Linked DNA regions of Schizosaccharomyces pombe. The gene in region 4 interacts genetically with the main gene of each other region. Each region holds a gene or a part of one and is shown on either strand. Other genes may lie near its edges. The genes, in order: cdr1, git3, ryh1 and pyp1.

Region 1 (5,229 bases), 2.5 Mb from region 4:
GCCGCGTACAAATCATATCCAGCAGAATTTGCAGAGCCTTTAGTAGGAATGGTTGCTTTTTCAGAAAGTTTTTGAACGAAAAAACTCATGTTTAAACTATAAAACTGTGTAATTTCACAGACAATAGAATTCTTGATTGGGAATGAGTGTTTGCAATAGATACTGGCGTTGCATATAAATTTGAAGTTACGCGACACGTTGCGGTTGACGGCGCGTCGCGTTTGTTTACATTTAGTCAAGATATACACCGTACAACATACCTAATATATAAACGTAGACAGTGTATAAAAACTTTCTAAAGAGGTAAACGTTTATAGGAATTATTTCTTCATATTTTATTTATTGCGATAACTCTTAAACCTCAATTTTATTACTAAACACTCCGGAATATTCGACAATTTTCAAAAACCAACAGACGTTATTACATAAAAACACCCAAATTTCATATAAAACTAATGTTCACAACAAAATTTTACTTTATACAGACTACTGATTTCTGGAAAGCGATTGTAATAGAAGATATTCATTAGTTACATATATAAACTAGTGTGCCCAAATCATTAACAGATATATAACGTAAAACCCTAAAACCATTAAATTGCTAATAGACTCAAAGGTCCAATTGCCAAAAAAGATCATTAAATTCGTAGAAAGGTACAGGTACACACGACGGGAGATCCAAAAAAAATAATTATCATCCTCATTAAATTATAAACAGATCTTAACATTTGAATAGCCGCCCACAGTATAGACATTAATGGTTGATTTTGAGGAAGAAGACTGTGTTTTTGAAAAAATTCCTATTTAATCCTTCCGAAAGAATGAAGAAATCTTTCGTAATACAGAACCGGAAGAAACTTTTCTGGGAGTATATCTTGCATTAGTAGCATATTGAGAATATCTCCGACTTGGAACTGGAGATGAACATAAAGGAGCAGAAGCAGATCTCACATTAGTTATGTTCGGCTGCATATTACTGATTACAGGAAAAGATATGGGACGTCTATTTTGATTGCCTGATCCTTGAACAAAGCCTCCAACCTGGACATCGTCCAAATTGGTTAGCCCATCTATTGATGGTTCAGGAGTTGAAAGTGAATCAGGAGTGTAGTAGCCACTGGCTGTGCTAGACAGAGTGGTGCTAGGAAAGATGCGGACATAGCCATACCGATTGAATGGTACGGATTCTAATTGCTCAAGGGTAGGAGTGGGGAGAGATTGTAAGTCCAGAGAATCAGTTCTAACATTATCAGTTGAATAAGTATACTCTTCTGGTGGACAAACAAACATATAATTATAGTCATCATCCAAAGTCGATGGGTTTGAAACTACTTCATGACAGGCATAGCTGTCATAATCCTTGTCAGAAGACACCCTGATCGGTATTGGAGATTGAGACATTTGATTTAAGGCTGAAAGCGGACTAGAAACTCTTCTAGCAAGTTCATCTTCAAAATTACTACTTTTGCGAGAGTTTGTCGAAACATTGGATTTTACTAACGATGTTGTTGAAATAGAAGCTTTGGTGAAAAGATTATTGTCGTGAATTAAATCGTAAAGACTGAGATATTTATTTTCATCAAAACGTTGTTTTTTCAACATATCATCGCGCAAAATCTCGGATAAAACTTTATACACATATTTTTCGTCGTTATCATCTCGCTGTTGAAGACGACGAACGACTTTTTTAGAGGATGATTTTTTCCAAAGCACACACATGCAATCAACTACTAATGGATCAATTTCGTCAATTGACAGTGAAGGGGTAGGAGGGGTAGTGCTATCCATAGAGCTCAATGATGTACAGCCCATTAGAAATGGATGAGAAAAAACTTCCGGAATTGTTATACGCGTGCTTGGATTTACATCTAGCATTCTGTGTAACAAATCTTGCGCAGCCGAAGAAATTGAAGAAGGAAGATCATATGCGCCATGGCGAATCTTATTATAAATAACATCTGTGTTTTGACCACCAAAGGGGAGCTTATTCGACAACAATGAATACAAGATGACACCACAAGACCAAACATCAGCAGGAGCTCCACGATATGGTTTGTGAGATACAATTTCGGGAGCCAAATAATGTAAAGAGCCGCAATAATTCTCAAGACAAGAGTCATTTGGTTCAACAGTGGCCATGCCAAAATCAGCTATTTTAATTTGTTGCTCATTTACCTTGATGAGAATATTCTCAAGTTTTAAATCCCGATGGCGAAAGCGAAAGCGATGACAATGCGCTACAGCATCAAGAATTTGGGAAAGATAATGCGCAGCCTCTCTTTCGCTCAAAGGTCCATGTTTGCGTATATAGTGAAAAAGCTCACCATCAGGGACGTACTCGAGTGCTAAGTACATATGCTGATGATCGGTCCAAACATCGTATAGTCGAAGAATATTAGGATGGCGCAACAAACGCATCATTAAGATTTCCATTCCTATGGAGGCATATCGAATAGGGATAATTTTGATGGCAGCCAAATCACCAGTTTTAGCATGCTTGGCAAGACGCACACAGCTAGTGGAACCAGTCCCTAAAGTCTTCCCAAGACGCCATACGCCAATAGTATTTTTGTGTCGCTTCACCATTCAAATCTAACCTTTTATTAAGGGAAAAGGCTTTCCAAAAGTAAAATTGCAGACTGAATAATAGCAACTTCAGAAAATCTGAAATACTTATGATGAAAAGTAGAATAAATGTCGAAAAAGTAGCATGAAATTTGGAATAAGTAAAGGAAAAAGTGAATGACACCACGATACAAAATAGGGTGTGATCACAAAATAGATACTGGAAACGAATTAATAAAATAAGAGTGCCTCATAAATAACCTAAAGCACTTTTCTGAGTGTATTGTAGAACAGAAAAGTGAAACGTGGAACGGAAATAGACGGACCTTGAAAAAAAAATGGGAAGTAGCACAAGAACACAAATAACAAATGTAAGTTACAAGACGTTTTGAGTAACAGCAATAAAAAAAGGTAAAGACAAAGAAAAAGAAACGAAGGGGAGCGTAAAATAAAGAAAGTATGTAAAGTGTATAAGATTCGTGATGTATAAATCCAATAAAGGTTAAGTTAATGATATTCGAATAAGGATTGAACTTTCATAAATTAAAAGAGAGAAGAAACAAGAAAGGAGAAAGTAAAAATGGAAATATTGGGGCGGTCAAATAGTTGAAAAAGGTAGAATAAAATAAACTAACGGATTTTAATTCAAACCCTGTATAATCAGATAAAAATATGGAGAACAGTAAGTAAAACAAAGAAAGATGAATGAATAAATAAATAATATGTAGAACAACCCACTATATAGAAGGCCTACAGATGTTTCAAAATATCGATCTACAATATTAATACAAACAGGATCCCAGCAATTCCTAAAATCGAAAACAATGCTGAGTTCTTATGCAGAGTAGTCCAAAAGACGGAATTGGCCAAGATAAGTTTGGCAGAGGACAACATGAATGCTGGAGGAGCGGATATAAGTGTTCAAGAGTAGGGAAGGGTGGGGCACTACTTGGACTTGATCAGGGAACATATGAAGAGTGTATTGAAGGCTTACGATTATTTCGGCGGATCACGATAGGATGACTTAAGGAACGGAAGCAATCCACTACTTGGTTTCTAGTCCTTGAGGGTGGTAATCTCAGGCTCATAGTGCTGTCTTGATAAAAACTTGAATATTAACAGCTGATTTATAGCTGTAGAGCAAATTTTATTTAGTTTTTCAGTTTCGCTTTATGAAGTTTAATTAATATTCATATTGTAGTAAAATCGAACCGTTAAAGTTGTCTTTTCTTCTCTTATTTACATTTTCGTTAAAAGCAACTTTAGCAGTCTTTTCTGCTTCTTTCACATTTGTTTACGTAGTACTCGTTTTGGCAATCTAGGAGCAAGTTATTGCAATAGATGAATATTTTTTCTTGTTTTACTCGTGTAGTTTTAGCAGGGAATTCCAGTTTTTCATCGAAAAGTAACACGACTTGGTAGCACGGTCAAGAACCCGTTCTACTTCGGGGATAACCAGGGACATGATGCATACCATATCTGATAACACATGCCATTACACTTTTTTTGAAAATTTGAGCAAAAAAAATAATGAAAACAGGTACTTGAAATCTGACAAGTGTTAGAGCCGGCTTCATGCCAAACATTGAAACTTGCTTCAATAATAGATGAAATCTCAGTATATAATGAATGTATTGAACGGGTTACTGAAGTTCATTTCATCATTATAAGCGAATATTGGATGTTTGAAATCGTCTTCATCCTATGGTATGAATAACAACGACTGTCGTGAAAAGTTGATGAAAGACTATAGGCCCCGCTTAAGAAATTACGATATTATAAAGAATCTATAATTTTCTACAATTTAATTGAAATTTTTATATTTGGAGGCGAAAACTTATTCTTTTTCAGCTTGCTCAACTTTATGTGACTTTTTTACATGGTATATCAACATGAACATTCTTACTGCAAATATTTCAACTAAATAAATTCATTAAATTTTTATTAGACAATAAAAATATACTATAGCAACTTGAGAGCTGCAATACGTGTACGCCACAAACAATTGAGAAACAAACAGAAATTGTTTACACAGTTTCGCTGTTTTCAAAATATAACCACGGGTAAGTAATACAGTTGGCATACAACATTTGGGTAACCTACCATAATTATCAATTGAGCGCAAGAATGGCTTGGATACTGACTCAACCCCAGTCTACTGAATCGACGATGTTTGGAAAATCGAATGAAACCAGCAAAACCGATCCTTCACCTTTAACTATCGGTAATCCAAGTTTGATTATCGAGCAAAGATGTGGTTGGTGCTTGGACAGATGGATCTACTTGATTGCTTGATATTTTTCGGTGTCAGTTCGTTACGCTAAAATGACTAAGAAAAATGAACACAGCCTCGATAAACAAATATCATCAGTGCGATCCAACAGCGGTATTTGTCTGAGTTTCTGGTTTACATTCCGAGCCACATGAAAGATAGGCGTTACAGGGCTCGGGAATGCAGCCGAAGCCGTTCAAAGTTGTCAATAAAGAACGTTTGGTAGAAGTGTCCAACAGCAACGAAGTGTTGATGACTTGTTGCCAATGATGAATTTCTTCACTATTGAGTTGGACTTTGGAATGTGAGTGGTCGTACCAACAACTACGGGTATATGGCCTTATTGCAGTGTAAGATTATCTCATTGTCATACAAAGTGGGCAACTTCATAC
Region 2 (6,314 bases), on a different chromosome or scaffold from region 4:
ATATTCATTAAATCCAGCGCCTCCTCCCATTCCTGGAGAAAAAGCGCTATTGAAGTCGGGACCATAGCCCGGCTTGCCAAAAGCATCATAAGCCATGAGCACGTATTATCTCAAATTATGAAAGTTTGTTAGGGTGAATTAAAGAGCGATGAAAAAGCAAATCAACCACTTAAAAATATATCTGCGATCTTTTAGAGAGTGATTTTTAAATAATTGAATATAAAGTTACAGCTGATTCCACGAGTAGTCTACTTTTCAGTGGTGTGTTTAGTACAAGTTACGAGTCGCGTTTCGCGGTGGTGTACCGAAAAGAATAAAATCAAGCAAGCGTGCTTATATACTACAATGTAATAAAATTAACTGTTTTATTTAGAAAACCATCTTACATCTACTTTTTTTCTCTATAACCGTATAGTTTTCAATACAAAAACCTACTAATCACGGGATGCTCAATTGACTTAAAACGCTTAAAGCAATCAGATACTGTGCTACCATTCTGCTTTACCAAATGTAAAGAAAAACTAAAAAATACATTATTAAATTTGTAAACATTAACACATTCATATGTAACAAGAAGGCATGGAACAAATGTCCGACGCAATTTTACAAATCGTATAGGAAGAAAAGCGATTTATCCACAACAAAAGAATAGCTAATGGTGAATGACTATTCGCACATCGACATATACAAAATAAGAACATAAACGTATTGCTATGCACAATCCATCCATTTTATGTATTGAGGAAATATAGTATTGGGGACATAAATTTTGAATATAGTTTTGAAGACAGATGCTTAATGCAAGCAGTAAAATGTAAGAGCATCTGAAAAATGAAAACGAGTGAATGATAGTTGGTAAAGCTGAACATAAACATTCTATATAAGGAAGAATTGTTTAGGCGACTAAGCGTTCCAAAAATGAATTCCCCGAGATGAATAGAAAACTGTCATAGACACAGTACATATATATACATCGATAATTGTGAGCGGCCTTATCAATTTGAAGCAGCCAAGCTTTAAACCATCTTCCAATCCGAGCCTTTTGCCAAGTTAAGTAGTGCCAAAATTTAATACTTCGAAATAAATTCTGGGAAGCGAAAATTAAAGTATGACATATATTAGAGGTGATGCAAAAATGGGAGATATTAAAATATTAGTTGGTTTACCACAGTTGTTTCCATTCACATTCCATTGTCATTCACTGGATGGCTTTAACAAAAAAGGAAGACATATGAATGCAAAGGCTATGAGAAAATTTTAAGAAGTAAAGTGATAATAAAATCGTCATAAAAAGAAATTATAATACAAGAAGAGGAGCTTGTGAGACTTCACCATAAACAAAAATAAAAAGAACAAATCCTTCTATTTTTCCTCACCAAATTTACCCCGCCACCATTTTAAAGTCAACTCCTTTATTTGATCCCAATAACTTTTACTCGAATCTCTTTCCTTCAAATACGTGTAGCCACGATAACAAATCCAAATAAAATCTGACAAGGCAATAAAGATGGCAACGAAGTTGTCTGCAAAGACTGCAACAAATGCGAATCGTTTGCATGAACCAGAGCAGTGCAACGGTTGGGCAAGTATAACGATAATCTGTATTTGAGGGAGAATCCACATAAAGATAAAAATTGCAGGATAAGCAAACAAAAACTTAGACTGACTTAAAATGCGTTTCCGTTGTTTAAGGAGGGGATCATCTTGCATATCATTTCCATATGCAGCCAAAACACTAGAAGCACCATCTTCGTCACTAGTCAATGGACTACTGAGTTTAAAACTCGTGTGATCTTCAAGGCCATTTGTGCGATTTGGACTATCCCTAAAATCCTGTTCGAAATGTATTCCTGATTGATTTAGATTAGCAGGAGTAGACTGCGAACCAGGAGGCAAATTAGGATGCACAGAGGATAGTAACGGTCTCGAATAGGGAGAAGGTTGAGACTGCGAGGAGTAAATGGATTGAGAATTAGATGGAGTATATGTTAAAGTACTGTTGGTGTCGGGAAATGGTGGAAGAGCTACTTGATCCGGAGCGGTAGGATACGAATCAATGACATTTAAAGTATCAAACACATTTGTTTGTTGATGTGAGTATTTCTTGAAACGTTTGATTTTCCTTCTGATCGAGATGAACATGCAAGTTTGTAAAGCAATAATTGCAATACTTAGCGCATAATCAAATGACCAATTCAAACCAAACATGAATCGTACAGGGGTATAGGGAAGGTAGCATCGGGTTTGTAAATTGACAAATGTATTTCTTTTATTGGTAAAAGCAAGTCCGCCAATAGTTAAAGGAATTACAAATGACAGTGTAAACACAGTATGCCGAAAACGATATAGACCCCTTCGTTCAGTATCAACATGGGGGAAAAGCACCAAAAGAGCATTATGCAATATGTTGATAAAAATCCAATAATCAGTCATCCGAACAAGTACCAAAAGAAAAAATCCAATTGTAAAGCATCGATGTTTTGGAGCCCAAAAAAAAGGATCGCTTAATGCTAGACATGGATGAATCATTTGCACAATGGAACGAATAAACAATACAGAAAAAAGAGCGATATGAAATTGTTCACGTATTGTTCGCCGACGAGACCATCGCCAGAAGATAGCAATTAAGCTGAAAACGATAGATATGGCTGAAGCTATAATGACCATGATTCTCAGGTTAGCTAACTCTCTGCGAGAGACAATGATGATGGAACTCGTACTCGTGGCATCGGAAACATTAAACGTATAATCTAAATGAAGCATGAGCAACCTTGTTCCTTATTACAAAGTTTAAACTTCTCTTCAAGAAGACAGGAAAAAAAAAGAGAGGAGAGGAGGTGAGAAAGTAAAAAACAAGAAAAGCAATATCAGAACGAAAAACAAAAAAAAAGACAAAAAAAAAAGGAATACTCCAAAGACAAATCTATGACTTCAGAAATGTTCAAATAGACAAACAAGAAAGCAAAACAGAATTTTCAGCCACTTGGGTAATCAGTCCTATTACCCTTAAGAAGTGCAAAAAATAGTATATCTCGTATATCCAATTACCCAAGATTGCATATCTGACCCTCGATTTTCTATAAATTGCTTCGTTCGCGAATATAAACAGTCTCTTCAAGTTGATGTAAAAAACTTAGCAAACTGGCAATATAGAAGGAGCTCTCTAAACTAAACGAGTTTGTTTCGAATATGAATTTGAATTCCCGTACTTTTATTTTTGTTTCTGTTTTCTTTTTTCCAAAAACAAGCTTCTCGTCTTTACTTTTCAATTAACTCAACTATTCTTTCGAAAGTTGTAGACACACGATTAAACTGTTAAAGGTAAAAGTTGAAATAGTAAATCTACTGCTTTTTCCTTTAATCGTGGCCGACGAAGCAGCTCAAAAGTGATAAACGAATGCAACCAGGAAAGCCGGACGCAAAACGGTGCCGACGATTATTAATAAAGCGCAGTCCCGTCTCGACACTCTTGGCAAGAAGAAAAGCGCAATTGACGTGAACAACCAACGATGTATTGTGCTTATAAAGAAAGCACTAGTGAAGTCACTTAGAGCTCAAAGCCACTTATGCACGTTTTGCAAGGCTCTTAATAGCGTGGCGAACCTTCTTAAGGATATTGAAGAATAGGGAAATCGGAGGCGGTATGGCTTGCAATTAACGCCGTACAGTGAATAAAGCGGTACTAAATCAAATCGGTGAAATTTACCGATAATTAAGGAAAAGACAAATCAATTGAAGGCGCCGTGGTTTGGGTTGGCTGATGGAGTTGGCTTGATTATAAGTAATGATGGCGGAGAGTTGCCGCCTTTGCTGTTGTGTATGAGTGTGTAGTGAATATGCACAAATATACCTCAACGACTAATGGATAAGGTGTTATAGCAAGTACAGTAGTTAAGTACCAATGCGGGATTTTTCTGAAAAAATATGCAAGCACACGGGCTTGACAGAAACACAAGAGGAGACAAATAAACCAAAGTCTCCGCACCTTAAGTCCACAGAAGAAGAATAAAAAAAAAGATCGCAATTGAATTATGTGAGGGGGCCCAGGCGTCAATAGTACAGAGTCGATTGACTAAGTAGATTTAAGATCACAAGCTGTAGAGCAAATCAGAAATTTGCACCTACGCAGAGACAATGAACAATTGTAATTTCAGAAAAAAAAATATCGACAACGATTCAAATTCCGAGTAATTTTCTAGCAAGACTATTGAAGAAAAAATTTCCCTAATCCCTTGATGAGCCTTGTCGCACTAACACAATATCGGCGATGCTTTCACACTCCTAGATGTGCTACCACCAACCATTATAACTTATGAAAAAAATTTGTAGTATCGCTGTAAACGAAATTTTTGTGTAAGAATGACGAGAGTTGTTTTTGCACAGACAAACGAGGTTCGGACGATCGGCCTATTTTTTAAGTACGATAGTGATTAGTATAGTATATCGTGAGGAGCAAATACAATCGCATAAAAAAAATCAGGGTGAAAAGAATCATTTCAGAGTGCGTTAATGAGAAAGTCCTCGTTATAAAAGAAAAAAAGGAACCGATGATTTAAAGTTATTGATGGTTTTAAAAAACAGCGTTTATTTTTACAGTGTTTAAAGTCAAGTCAATATTAGGCACAAGAAGAGGTCACACTTTATTTTCAAAAGAAAATGGATGAAATGCAACTCCATGCGTTGCGATAAGCGTTAAACACCAATCTAGGAAGCAGTCCCTCAACAGAAATGAAGCGAAAATCGAATGATGGTGAGAATAGAATAATAAAACGAGCCCCGGTAAATTGAAAGTTGATAGAATCAAGTTTCAATTAGGGGTAATGAAAACGTGCTTAAAAATAGGGAGTAATGTTGTAGTTACCAAAATGAACAATTCGGACCAGACCAATAAATATTGTCGAAATAAAACAAGGAGTGTTAAATTTTATTATTATGTCTTTATTCTCCTTGGAAACCGGTTCGTCCACGTGAAGAGAATTCTATTAGCATTGTCGAAACCGTTTGATCCGGTTATGCCTTCATATCTTTGAAAACATTTCCGCCAATTCCACCAAGTGAAAATCACAATATCGTTAGTCGGTATTGTCTTTAGGTTTACTAGCGGGGGCGTTTTTGTTTTGAGGAAAAAAGAATATTCTCTGGTTTCCATCTACCTTAAGTGCCGATTAGGCAGATAAGCTAGATTAAGTGAAATGGGAAACGGGATTCATTTTCCATTGACAACACTTTTAAACATTATTTGATAATTCGCATGCAACCCTTCAAAGTCGATTCGACATTTTAAGGTTTACTTCACGGACATTGAAATCATTGTGAAGCTTTGTAGACTGTTGTCTCTCTCGGAAGTACCCAAAAAAAAAAAAAAAATCCTTTTTACACTCATAACGTTCTAGCTGTTTCATCCCTTTAAAAAATATCATGTTTTTTTTTTGGTGCTCGGAACATTTACTTTCTCCACTTGGTTCGTCTATTTTTGAAGTTAAACTAACTATTTGACCATTTTCGTACTTAATGTCATGAACTCCTCTCGTGGATTGTTAAGTCAATTATCAAAACCAACCACCAACTCAATTTTAACCGTTGTAACCTGACCCATTATTAACACTAGTATTCATGCTGTACTTGCGGCAATTCCCCCATCAAAAAGTTTTCAGAGTTGTCTTTTGATACCGATTATGTGTCGTGGTGGAGGCTTACACCCCAAGGATCGGAACGGGATCTTCTCAATTTGATTTTAATGCTCTGCATGGACAAGCCTAAGGGAAAAGAGTCATGCAACAAGTAGAGAAATTTATTTCAACATTGTTGTGTTGGCGGTTTCTGTTTGCTAATCCTCAGCAACGATCATATGCAGTTGAGATCTCGACCAACTTTTCGTTAAATAATGTCAAAATTTGCAACAAATGTTTTATCACGGTACTCGAAGAATGTGAACTTAATGAAGTTTCTCATTTGGTTGCCAAATTGTGGTCACACATCAATTTTGTCGAAATAACCATTCCGATCCTGATTTCGTTCCATTTTTACTACTTTTTTAAATTTGGGATTAAGTTGAATTGGTCTGTCTTCCTACATCTTGTTCCATACCCGTTCCAAACTTTGACATAATTGGATGAAGCTGTCTTGTTTTAGATAGAATAATACCTTGGAGCGTAATTGCTTTTCCTCTTCAGTAAGTTCTGTTGGTAGGATTTGTGAAGTCGTTGGGGGTGATGGAATCAAATTTGCGTATGCTTGGTTCTCCGGTTGAGCAACCCACGAAGCCTGTGTCTGAGAGTTCAGCGGCGTAGCAGCAATAATGGGGTATTGTGAGT
Region 3 (4,810 bases), 4.0 Mb from region 4:
CTCTAATCTACGATTGTTGATTACTTATTGCAGTTTGCACAGTTTTGGGATTTAGCTATTTTTCATTCTGCCTAATTATCACGCCTTACTGTATCGACGTTTCTTTGTTGATCTTTAACAACTGTCCTTATTTTTTGGTTTTTCGCGGATTTTTTTAATTAGATATACAGTTAACACTTCATTTGTCGGTGTCTTTGTTTTCTTTAATTGTATTTGTATATTTAATTGTTAATTCTTGTTTTGGAAGATTTTATACTTTTTTATTGGTTATACAGCAATATACTTTTTTGAAACTTGATTTTTTGGATATCCCGGAAGTTTTTTTTCTGCTTTTTTTTTTCTTTGGTTTTGTTAGGTCGTAGAAGCTTCACTATCTTTTTACCTAGAAATGGCTGCTAAACACGTAAAATACATGGCTTGTCTATTCGATATGGATGTATGTTTATTTTTCACACCACATTACCTCTTATGAAAGCTTTTGCATTAACAATCACTCTTTTTACAGGGTCTACTTGTCGACAGTGAAACTATTTATACAAAGACGACCAGTATGTAAATAATATATCTGTGCTTATATTTAGCACAAAACTACAATGTTTTCTAATCTTTATTTTTTTTATAGATCTTATATTGGACAGGTATGGCAAGGATCCTCTTCCTATTTCTGTTAAGGCTCAAATGATGGGTATGTTATATAAAGCTAGCGAAGAGATATTTTAAAATGCTTTCAAAATTGCAGGTCTAACTTGCGATACGTAGGGAGACCGGGTTCCGCAGCTGCCAAGGTTGTTATAGATTGGTCCAACATTCCTATGACTCCTCAACAATTCGTTGATGAACAACAGGTTATTCGGGTACGTACTTATACGCTACATTTATTTCCATTTCAACTAACTTTCTGAAAGGCAAAGTTTTGGTCGTCTTTGAAGCCTATGCCTGGGGCTGAATCTTTGATTAATAACCTCTCCAATCATGGAATTGATATCGGGGTATGTACTCATCCCTACGCTATAATAAAAGTGTGCTAACAGCATCACCAGCTTGCTACTTCCTCTAATACCGCAAATTATAATATGAAGACAGCCCATCTTAAACATATTTTTGAGAAATTTGGTAAAAATGTTATTACAGGTGATAATCCTAGTATTGCACCTGGTCGTGGCAAACCTTTTCCAGACATTTGGCTGAAGGTGTTGAATTTAATAAATGAAAGTAGGAAGCAGCGAGGTTTGAAGGCACTTACACCAAGCCAATGCATTGCCTTTGAAGACAGTATTCCCGGTGTCAAAAGTGCAAAGGCTGCAGGAATGCATGTCATTTGGGTTCCAGATGCTGCCATCAAAAACTTGGTAGGGGATCAGCTGAATGAGATTGTTGATTCTCAATGTGAGACGTTACCGAGTCTTTCAGAGTTTGATATAAACAAATATCTTAACATAAATTCAAAGCAGGCCTAGAGGTTATATCCGCTAACTTTTTTTTGGTTCATTCAATTTTTTTTGGCAAAAAACCTCATATCTTTTAATAAAATTAAAAAATTGAAGTATAAATAAAGTTCTACTGTTTCAATGAAAACCTTGAACTGACTCACATAGCATAAATAACTTATGAGTAAAGGGAAAAAGCGAAATCTAAAAAAAAAAAAATAATAACATTTCTCTGAATTCCAAAATCATACATTGTAATTTTTTTCCTTCTTTGCAAATGCCCTTGAAAAGTCAAGAAGCACCGCAGGGATTAAACGAAAGAGACTTATTCAGAAATTCAACTTCTCACTTTTGTAAAGCATATATCATAGAGACAGGATTAAAATAAAAAAGGACTAAAACAAGTAAAAAAAGAAGGAAAAGGAAACAGGTATAAAAGGAATCGCGATTCTTTAAAGGTGCAAAAGATTTAGGGGCTATAAGAAGATATATATATACTCACAGTATACTTTTTGAGGGTCAAATGACATTAAAAACCGCTGATTGCGGCCTGAAGCGAAAAAAAATAATTCACGAAACAGTTAGAGTACACTGACATGTTCAATGAGATACACTAGCAATTGCAGCTGCTTTCATTCTCGTTAGGCTGAATGCTAACGTCAATCATTTGAGTGCTTTGTGTTTCCACATTCTCCATGCCTGGTAACATTTGTGCAATTTTCCTAAACAACAGTTTTACATTGTGACCCGCTTTAGCACTAGTTTCCATGTGCATTATTTTTAATTCTTTTGCCTTTTTTTCTCCTTCTTCTTGAGTCACTTGCCTAAACCACCGTTAGCATAAGAACCATCAAAAACCAAAATATAGCTTTGGAATTATGAATGAAGAGATGTCGCATTGTAAATGCTGAATCTCTGTTAGCTGGAGTGTCATACCTTTTATCAGCCAAGTCCGTTTTATTACCAACGAGAACAATTATAACGTCGTCTCCCCGCTCAGCACGAACATCTTCAATCCATTTCTCAGTATTTACAAAAGAGTTATGGTCTATAAGTAGTTAGCAGATATTCGAAAATAAAGTCTGAGTAAAAATATATGGCAAAATTACTGTGCCACTATTACTTACTAGTGATATCGTAAACAATAATAGCAACAGAAGAATCCCTAATATACGAAGGAATTAAAGAACGGAAACGTTCTTGACCAGCAGTATCCCATAGTTGAAGACGAACCGTTCGATCTTCCAAATACATAGTCTTGCTTAGAAAGTCTATACCAATAGTAGCCTTGGACCCTGTTAGTAAAGAAGTTTTAATTATAGTTACTTACTTGATAAGTATTATCAAACTGATCGTACATAAATCGTGTAATTAACGATGTTTTGCCAACTGACTGCTCACCGAGAAAAACCAACTTAAATTTACGCAAAGAAAACGAGTAATTTTCTGACATTATGACAAAAAGTTTTGACTTCTAAATATACACAGACAAAAGTAATTTAGATACAGACGGAATTGCTTATTGATGATCAAAAAGCACCGTACTTAATAGTGGTAGTAGTGAGTAAAGACTATCGTGCTACAGTGAGATCCCGCCGCATATCCTTAATATACTTTCGCTTGTTTTACTTTTCATTCGCTTTTACGAAGTTTAATCTCGGTAAAGTAATTCTATAACAAACAACTTTTTCGCTGAAAAAGAAATCATGAACTCTCACCGTTCTTAAATTACTAAGCATTCCTAAAGATGGGTTCTTTTTCTTTGAGTTGTTGATAGTGATAGGTTTTTGGGTGTTAAAAAACATACAGCTGTAACAACAGTTTGTTTACTACTCATAGTTTTATACACAACATTTCAAGGAATGACAACTGGGATAAAAACGCGCCACATCGCATGGGAAGGAGGAGTCATCGAGATTTGATTATCATTAAACTATATAATACAAGAAATCTCTCGATTGGAATGGCCTAATTTTTGCTGAGAGTAGCTAAGTTTACAAAAAAATATTGGACACGCTGGGGATTGAACCCAGGACGACTCGCATGCAAAGCGAGCATGCTACCACTGCATCACATGCCCAAACATTGAAGGCTTCAGCATATTAGTAAAGTATAAGGTAATTTTTTTGTTTAGTAGCTGATGAAAGAAGGAAAATGGAAAGTAGTTAAACCATAGAACAAGCTTGAAATTCAACATAATGGCTTTATTCCATTTGAAATTTTATTAGAATGTTTCATAATCTACGCATCCTGTCTGCTACCAAGTTCAAGATTGGCAGACTGCACCAAACTGTTCGAAAAATGTATGTTTGTTAACTTGAATAAAACTAGCTGTTAAACGAGTCAGATTTAAGCAAAATATAAGCTTTACAGGAAAATATACTCGAGTTAATTTAGCAAACTCGGTCATTTCATTAATGATACAATTAGCTACGGAACAGCCAAGTCAAATTTTATACTTAATGTCAACAATAACAGGTTAGTTAGTGGGTTTTAATTTAATAATTTTCGAAATCAATAAAAGAGTAAATAGTATGGCTTTTCAAGCTTAGATTCTTTTAAAAATAAATTTTTTTTTTATTTGTATCCTTATTGCAATATGACGAAAAGTTCAAGAAAGATAAGAGAATTAAAAACTAAGTTATTTCATAATTATTAGCTGCTGTTTGGAATAAAAAATCTCGGAATTTAATGATAAGATGAAAAAGAATTTAAAAAGTAAATATGTAGTTATATATCCTATAAAAAATTTGGTTCAAACGATTAATTTAGATTATTTAGAATCTTTAAAAAGATAATGGGGTTAAAAACAAAAGAACTTGATTTTAGATTCAATTTAGAAATTTTTTTGTAAAGTGTCTTGATGTATTTCAATTTTTAGATGTGTAGCGCCATTTCATTTCACTCATGTTTTTAAAAGAGAAAAAAATTTACCTAGTTTATTAAGATATACAATTCATTCAGTTCCTTTTATCTTCTTCTATAATTCATTGTTTATTTACTTATTTATTTTCTCCAATGTCAAATTTATAGCACTTTAAATATCGCAAAATTTCAATATTATACGTTACAGCTCACAACTTTGTGTCTAAGCCCTCCGACTAATGTAGCTTACACTGCCTCTCCTTTCCCCATTTTCGACAAAATTAAATGAAAAATCCAATTTTTTGGCGATTCTTCCTTTTACTTATTTATTAAACACCAATTATTTCAAAAGGAAATTTTAAATTGTCTTTCCTTAGTGACGCTTGTTCAATAAGCCCCAAAGTTAGCAACCTTTACTTCATCGTACCATTATTGGCAGCCCAGGCATCGTTTATTTATATATTTTTATACAAAGCATTAGAAATTAACTTCGTATTGCATTTCTTTATTACGATTTT
Region 4 (4,291 bases):
GGGGACTATTAAGTGATATCATTGTTTGGTGCTCCAAGATATACCTATTTCTACTTCTTCTTCTCTTTCTACATATCGCTCGCTCGTCCTCTCCCTTCCTCCTCTTAACCCTTTACTTGCTCCCAATCCTTTTTATCTTTTGGGTTTCCTGTTTAAACGTTGGGTAAAGTATAAGATTGGATCTTATTTTCATCGTCGTTTTGTTGGATCGTATGAAAAATTTTACCTTGGTTCGTCGCTCAGTCCTTGCTCTGATCGTTTGGTAAAAATCAAAAATCGTTAGACTTGATTTCGTTGACGTTTAGTGCGTTTAATTCTCTTTCTTAGATTTTTTCCTCCATCCTTCATCTCGTCAACAGTTCTCTCTGTTGTCTCTCCACCGCTATACGTAGCTTTTAAAAGTCGTTTGTTTCATTACCTGCGCCCATCTTTTCTTTTCTAAACTTTAACTCAAAGTGAATAAATAGGAAGAACTAGTCTTTTTTCCTTCCATAAAAGAGCACCAGATATATCGTTGAATCGCCGTGCTTTTTCTATTTGCTTCATTTTTTTATCCCGTACGATGCAAAATAGTTAATTTCTTCAACTTTTCTCAACTTTTGTTTCACCACTTCTTTCTCTCAATTGGGTTAGATTTTTCTCCTTTTACATTTTTTTTATACCTCCCTCTTTTTTTTTCTTGTTTCCTTTTCGTTGATATTTTCATATTTTCGGAATTCTCCTTTTCTAGTTATCCTATTTCTCGTTTCATCATTTTCTTTGTCTTTTCTCAAAAAGGTGTACTCTTGGGTTTCTTTCCACAGTGTAGTATCGCTTTTTTTGAACCTTTGAAGAGCTCATATATTCCTTTCCCTTGAGTTTTTCGGATTAAGTTTTGAATTTTTTTCCCATTTTCTTCATTGCTTTACCGTTTGTTTTCACTTCACTTTGGGGTCTTGGTGGTTACTTGTCTATTGTTTTTTTTGTGGGGTTCTGCATTCTGAATAGTTCTGTTTCTTTTTTTCTGAACTCATCTGTCTAAGTATTCACCATTCATTTGGTTTATTTACAGACGTGTGCTCTGTAATTTTCATCCTTAGTTGACCTTACGTTTTTGCTAGTTTGTTGCATCAACGTGCTTTTGGTTCCCCCCTTTAGCTTTGAATACGCTTCTGACTTTTAAATTGGGTTTTCTGTTTTGTAGGAAAATTATTCCATTGTCATTACATTTCAATTAGCCTCTACCTCTTTTCGTTCCTCGATCTCCTACTTGTATACTTTTCTGCACTTTGACAAACTGCAACTTATAATATTTCTTATACCCTCTATCTTATATTTTTGTTCAGTCTGGTTACTGTTTTCGTGCGTGTGCCCTACCTTTTTGCATTTTCTACTAAATACGAAATAATTTCTTAAATAGTGTTGCTTTTTGCAATCTTGCACTGTGCACTCACAAGCAGTATTTTTATTTTCCTCTTAAAATCGCTTGACCTTTGAAGTGACGATTCATTAATCCGTTAATTTTTAAGGATTCCCCCTTTTTATTCTCATATTTGCATAGTACTGATTCAAACCCATTCTTTGAATTGGATACTCCTCATCCCCTCTAAAACTCTTCCATCTTTATTTTCTGCAGAAAGTTTGAATTGAAAAACTTTTTTCATCTCAGACTTGATTTGAATCTTCTCTTGTTTCCTTCTATATTTTACTAATTTTATTGCCAAATTTTGCGTTAATTCTTTCCTTTTTAGAACCCTGGATTTTCCGTAATTTTGATATTTCCTATCCATTCATTATTTTGCTTTCGGCCTTCAAAACTTGTGCTATCCAATATTTGTATTTTATTTAAGAAGTCTGAATTTTTTTTTACTTTTTTACTTTTTTTTTTAATCATCTCTGCTTCTTTTTTAAGGCCAAATATTCTTAATACAAAACATTCATCTAAAAAACCACGATGAATTTTTCAAACGGTTCAAAATCGTCTACTTTTACAATTGCTCCTTCGGGTTCATGTATTGCTTTACCTCCTCAGCGGGGTGTAGCAACGAGTAAGTATGCTGTTCATGCTTCTTGCCTCCAAGAATATCTCGACAAGGAAGCTTGGAAGGATGACACATTGATCATCGACCTTCGTCCCGTATCCGAGTTTTCCAAATCTAGAATTAAGGGCTCCGTCAATCTTTCTTTACCTGCAACCTTAATTAAGCGTCCTGCCTTTTCGGTCGCGCGTATCATCAGCAATCTTCACGACGTCGACGACAAGAGAGATTTTCAAAACTGGCAAGAGTTTTCATCCATTCTTGTTTGTGTTCCTGCTTGGATTGCTAACTACGTAACGAACGCTGAGGTAATTGGTGAAAAATTTAGAAAAGAATCCTATTCTGGTGACTTCGGTATTTTAGATTTAGACTATTCGAAAGTCTCGGGCAAGTATCCATCTGTGATTGACAACTCTCCTGTAAAAAGTAAATTAGGTGCTTTGCCTAGCGCTCGCCCCAGATTGTCTTACTCTGCTGCTCAAACTGCTCCTATCTCTTTGTCCAGCGAAGGCTCCGATTACTTCTCTCGTCCTCCTCCCACTCCTAATGTTGCCGGTTTGTCTTTAAATAACTTTTTCTGTCCTCTACCTGAGAACAAGGACAACAAATCTTCTCCATTTGGCAGTGCTACAGTCCAGACACCCTGCTTACACAGTGTGCCCGATGCTTTTACCAATCCAGATGTTGCGACCCTCTACCAGAAGTTCTTGCGCCTGCAATCATTGGAGCATCAACGTCTAGTTTCTTGTTCGGATCGTAATTCTCAGTGGAGTACCGTTGATTCATTGAGTAATACATCGTATAAGAAAAACAGATATACCGACATTGTTCCTTACAATTGTACTCGTGTGCATTTGAAAAGAACTAGCCCTTCAGAGCTCGATTATATCAATGCTTCCTTTATCAAAACTGAAACTTCAAATTACATCGCTTGCCAAGGTTCTATTTCTCGTTCTATTAGCGATTTCTGGCACATGGTATGGGACAATGTGGAGAATATAGGCACTATTGTTATGCTTGGTTCATTGTTCGAGGCTGGCCGCGAAATGTGTACTGCATATTGGCCAAGTAATGGTATTGGAGATAAACAAGTGTATGGAGATTACTGTGTCAAACAAATTTCGGAGGAAAATGTCGATAATTCTCGATTCATTTTGCGAAAGTTTGAAATTCAGAATGCCAATTTTCCTTCAGTTAAAAAAGTACATCACTATCAATATCCTAATTGGTCTGATTGTAATTCTCCTGAAAACGTGAAATCTATGGTTGAGTTCTTAAAATATGTGAACAACTCTCACGGATCAGGAAATACTATTGTGCACTGCTCTGCCGGTGTTGGTCGGACAGGAACCTTTATTGTACTAGATACGATCCTACGCTTCCCAGAAAGCAAACTTTCTGGTTTCAATCCTTCTGTCGCCGATTCTTCAGACGTCGTTTTCCAGTTGGTTGATCATATCCGAAAGCAGCGGATGAAGATGGTTCAAACCTTCACACAATTTAAATATGTGTATGACTTGATCGATTCTTTGCAAAAATCTCAAGTTCATTTCCCGGTTTTAACATGAAATTTTTGACTGGATTTTTCTTGGCAATATATATTCGTGTTTTAATCGATTCCTTTATTTCTTGTACTTGTAAAGTGTCTTTTTTTTTACATTTGCATTTGAATTTACTGTCAATGTTTGTGAAATTCAGTTGCTTTAATCACGTTGTCTTTTATTTCAAAAAGTATATTTGAGAACTAGGCTTTTTAATGATATCTTTTTTTCTCTTAAATTTTCTTTTTAGAACTTTGTAAACCTATTTTTTGTACAAGATAAAGTCATCAAACTGATAATAACCTTGTATTATTTTCAGATGCTTTTTAAAATTTATTACTCGATTTCTTTAGGCAGAAATATAGAGTTTAAGCGAAGTGGTCGTGATCAAGAGCAATAGAATTCTTTCTTCACTGATTAAAGGTGAGACGATTCATTAAATATACATTCATTTGAACTATCGTTTGTATGTTTTTAAGTAAGACAAACTTGCAGGAACAAAGATTTTTTATAATACACATTAAACGTAACTCAATATAAATAAATTATTATGGCAATCATTAGGATGCAGATATTCCAATAGTACCTAGAATGCTTTTATATTCACTTTGTCTTTATGCGGTTCATAAGCTGACTCCATTTTTGTAAAGCCATCATATGGTCCTCGTCTAAAACGGCCAAGTTAACTTTAGTTTCAGCAAGCTGCTTTTCTTTTCTAAAGATTTCATCTTC

The links.
Region 1: of pyp1 (region 4) and cdr1, changing one enhances a phenotype caused by changing the other (phenotypic enhancement), as found in Schizosaccharomyces pombe (one study listed by BioGRID).
Region 2: of pyp1 (region 4) and git3, changing one suppresses a phenotype caused by changing the other (phenotypic suppression), as found in Schizosaccharomyces pombe (one study listed by BioGRID).
Region 3: of pyp1 (region 4) and ryh1, extra expression of one rescues a mutant of the other (dosage rescue), as found in Schizosaccharomyces pombe (one study listed by BioGRID).

What each region holds. Positions count from the first base shown.
Region 1 is NC_003424.3:2,678,961-2,684,189, forward strand, and holds cdr1 (serine/threonine protein kinase (NIM1 family) Cdr1/Nim1), read right to left. Parts: upstream 3,448-5,229; 5' UTR 2,587-3,447; coding exon 805-2,586; 3' UTR 508-804; downstream 1-507. Other genes in the region: dut1 (deoxyuridine 5'-triphosphate nucleotidohydrolase), read right to left, coding at 1-89. UniProt on the Schizosaccharomyces pombe protein: This protein, a dose-dependent mitotic inducer, appears to function as a negative regulator of mitosis inhibitor wee1 by phosphorylating and inactivating it.
Region 2 is NC_003421.2:1,541,819-1,548,132, forward strand, and holds git3 (G-protein-coupled receptor Git3), read right to left. Parts: upstream 4,278-6,314; 5' UTR 2,764-4,277; coding exon 1,363-2,763; 3' UTR 515-1,362; downstream 1-514. Other genes in the region: single-stranded DNA-binding protein Ssb2, read right to left, coding at 1-96; meiotic recombination protein Rec7, read right to left, coding at 6,070-6,314. UniProt on the Schizosaccharomyces pombe protein: G protein-coupled receptor (GPCR) that senses glucose and signals via the heterotrimeric G protein alpha subunit gpa2 to activate adenylate cyclase and PKA signaling, and suppress sexual development and gluconeogenesis.
Region 3 is NC_003424.3:1,192,157-1,196,966, forward strand, and holds ryh1 (Rab family GTPase Ryh1), read right to left. Parts: upstream 2,990-4,810; 5' UTR 2,881-2,989; coding exon 2,758-2,880; exon of another isoform or gene 2,715-2,757; coding exon 2,555-2,714; intron 2,478-2,554; exon of another isoform or gene 2,476-2,477; coding exon 2,364-2,475; exon of another isoform or gene 2,252-2,363; coding exon 2,041-2,251; 3' UTR 1,458-2,040; coding exon of another isoform or gene 1,041-1,457; 3' UTR 990-1,040; coding exon of another isoform or gene 906-989; 3' UTR 855-905; coding exon of another isoform or gene 760-854; 3' UTR 686-759; coding exon of another isoform or gene 623-685; 3' UTR 549-622; downstream 1-548. Other genes in the region: pseudouridine-5'-phosphatase Pud1, read left to right, coding at 389-436, 506-548, 623-685, 760-854, 906-989, 1,041-1,457. UniProt on the Schizosaccharomyces pombe protein: Has a role in retrograde traffricking of proteins from the endosome to the Golgi. Involved in protein transport to the plasma membrane. Involved in the secretory pathway where it has a role in acid phosphatase secretion.
Region 4 is NC_003424.3:5,159,579-5,163,869, forward strand, and holds pyp1 (protein tyrosine phosphatase Pyp1), read left to right. Parts: upstream 1-1,933; coding exon 1,934-3,586; 3' UTR 3,587-3,782; downstream 3,783-4,291. Other genes in the region: GTPase-activating protein Gyp51, read right to left, coding at 4,163-4,291. UniProt on the Schizosaccharomyces pombe protein: Plays a role in inhibiting the onset of mitosis. Dephosphorylates sty1/spc1 and wis1/spc2/sty2.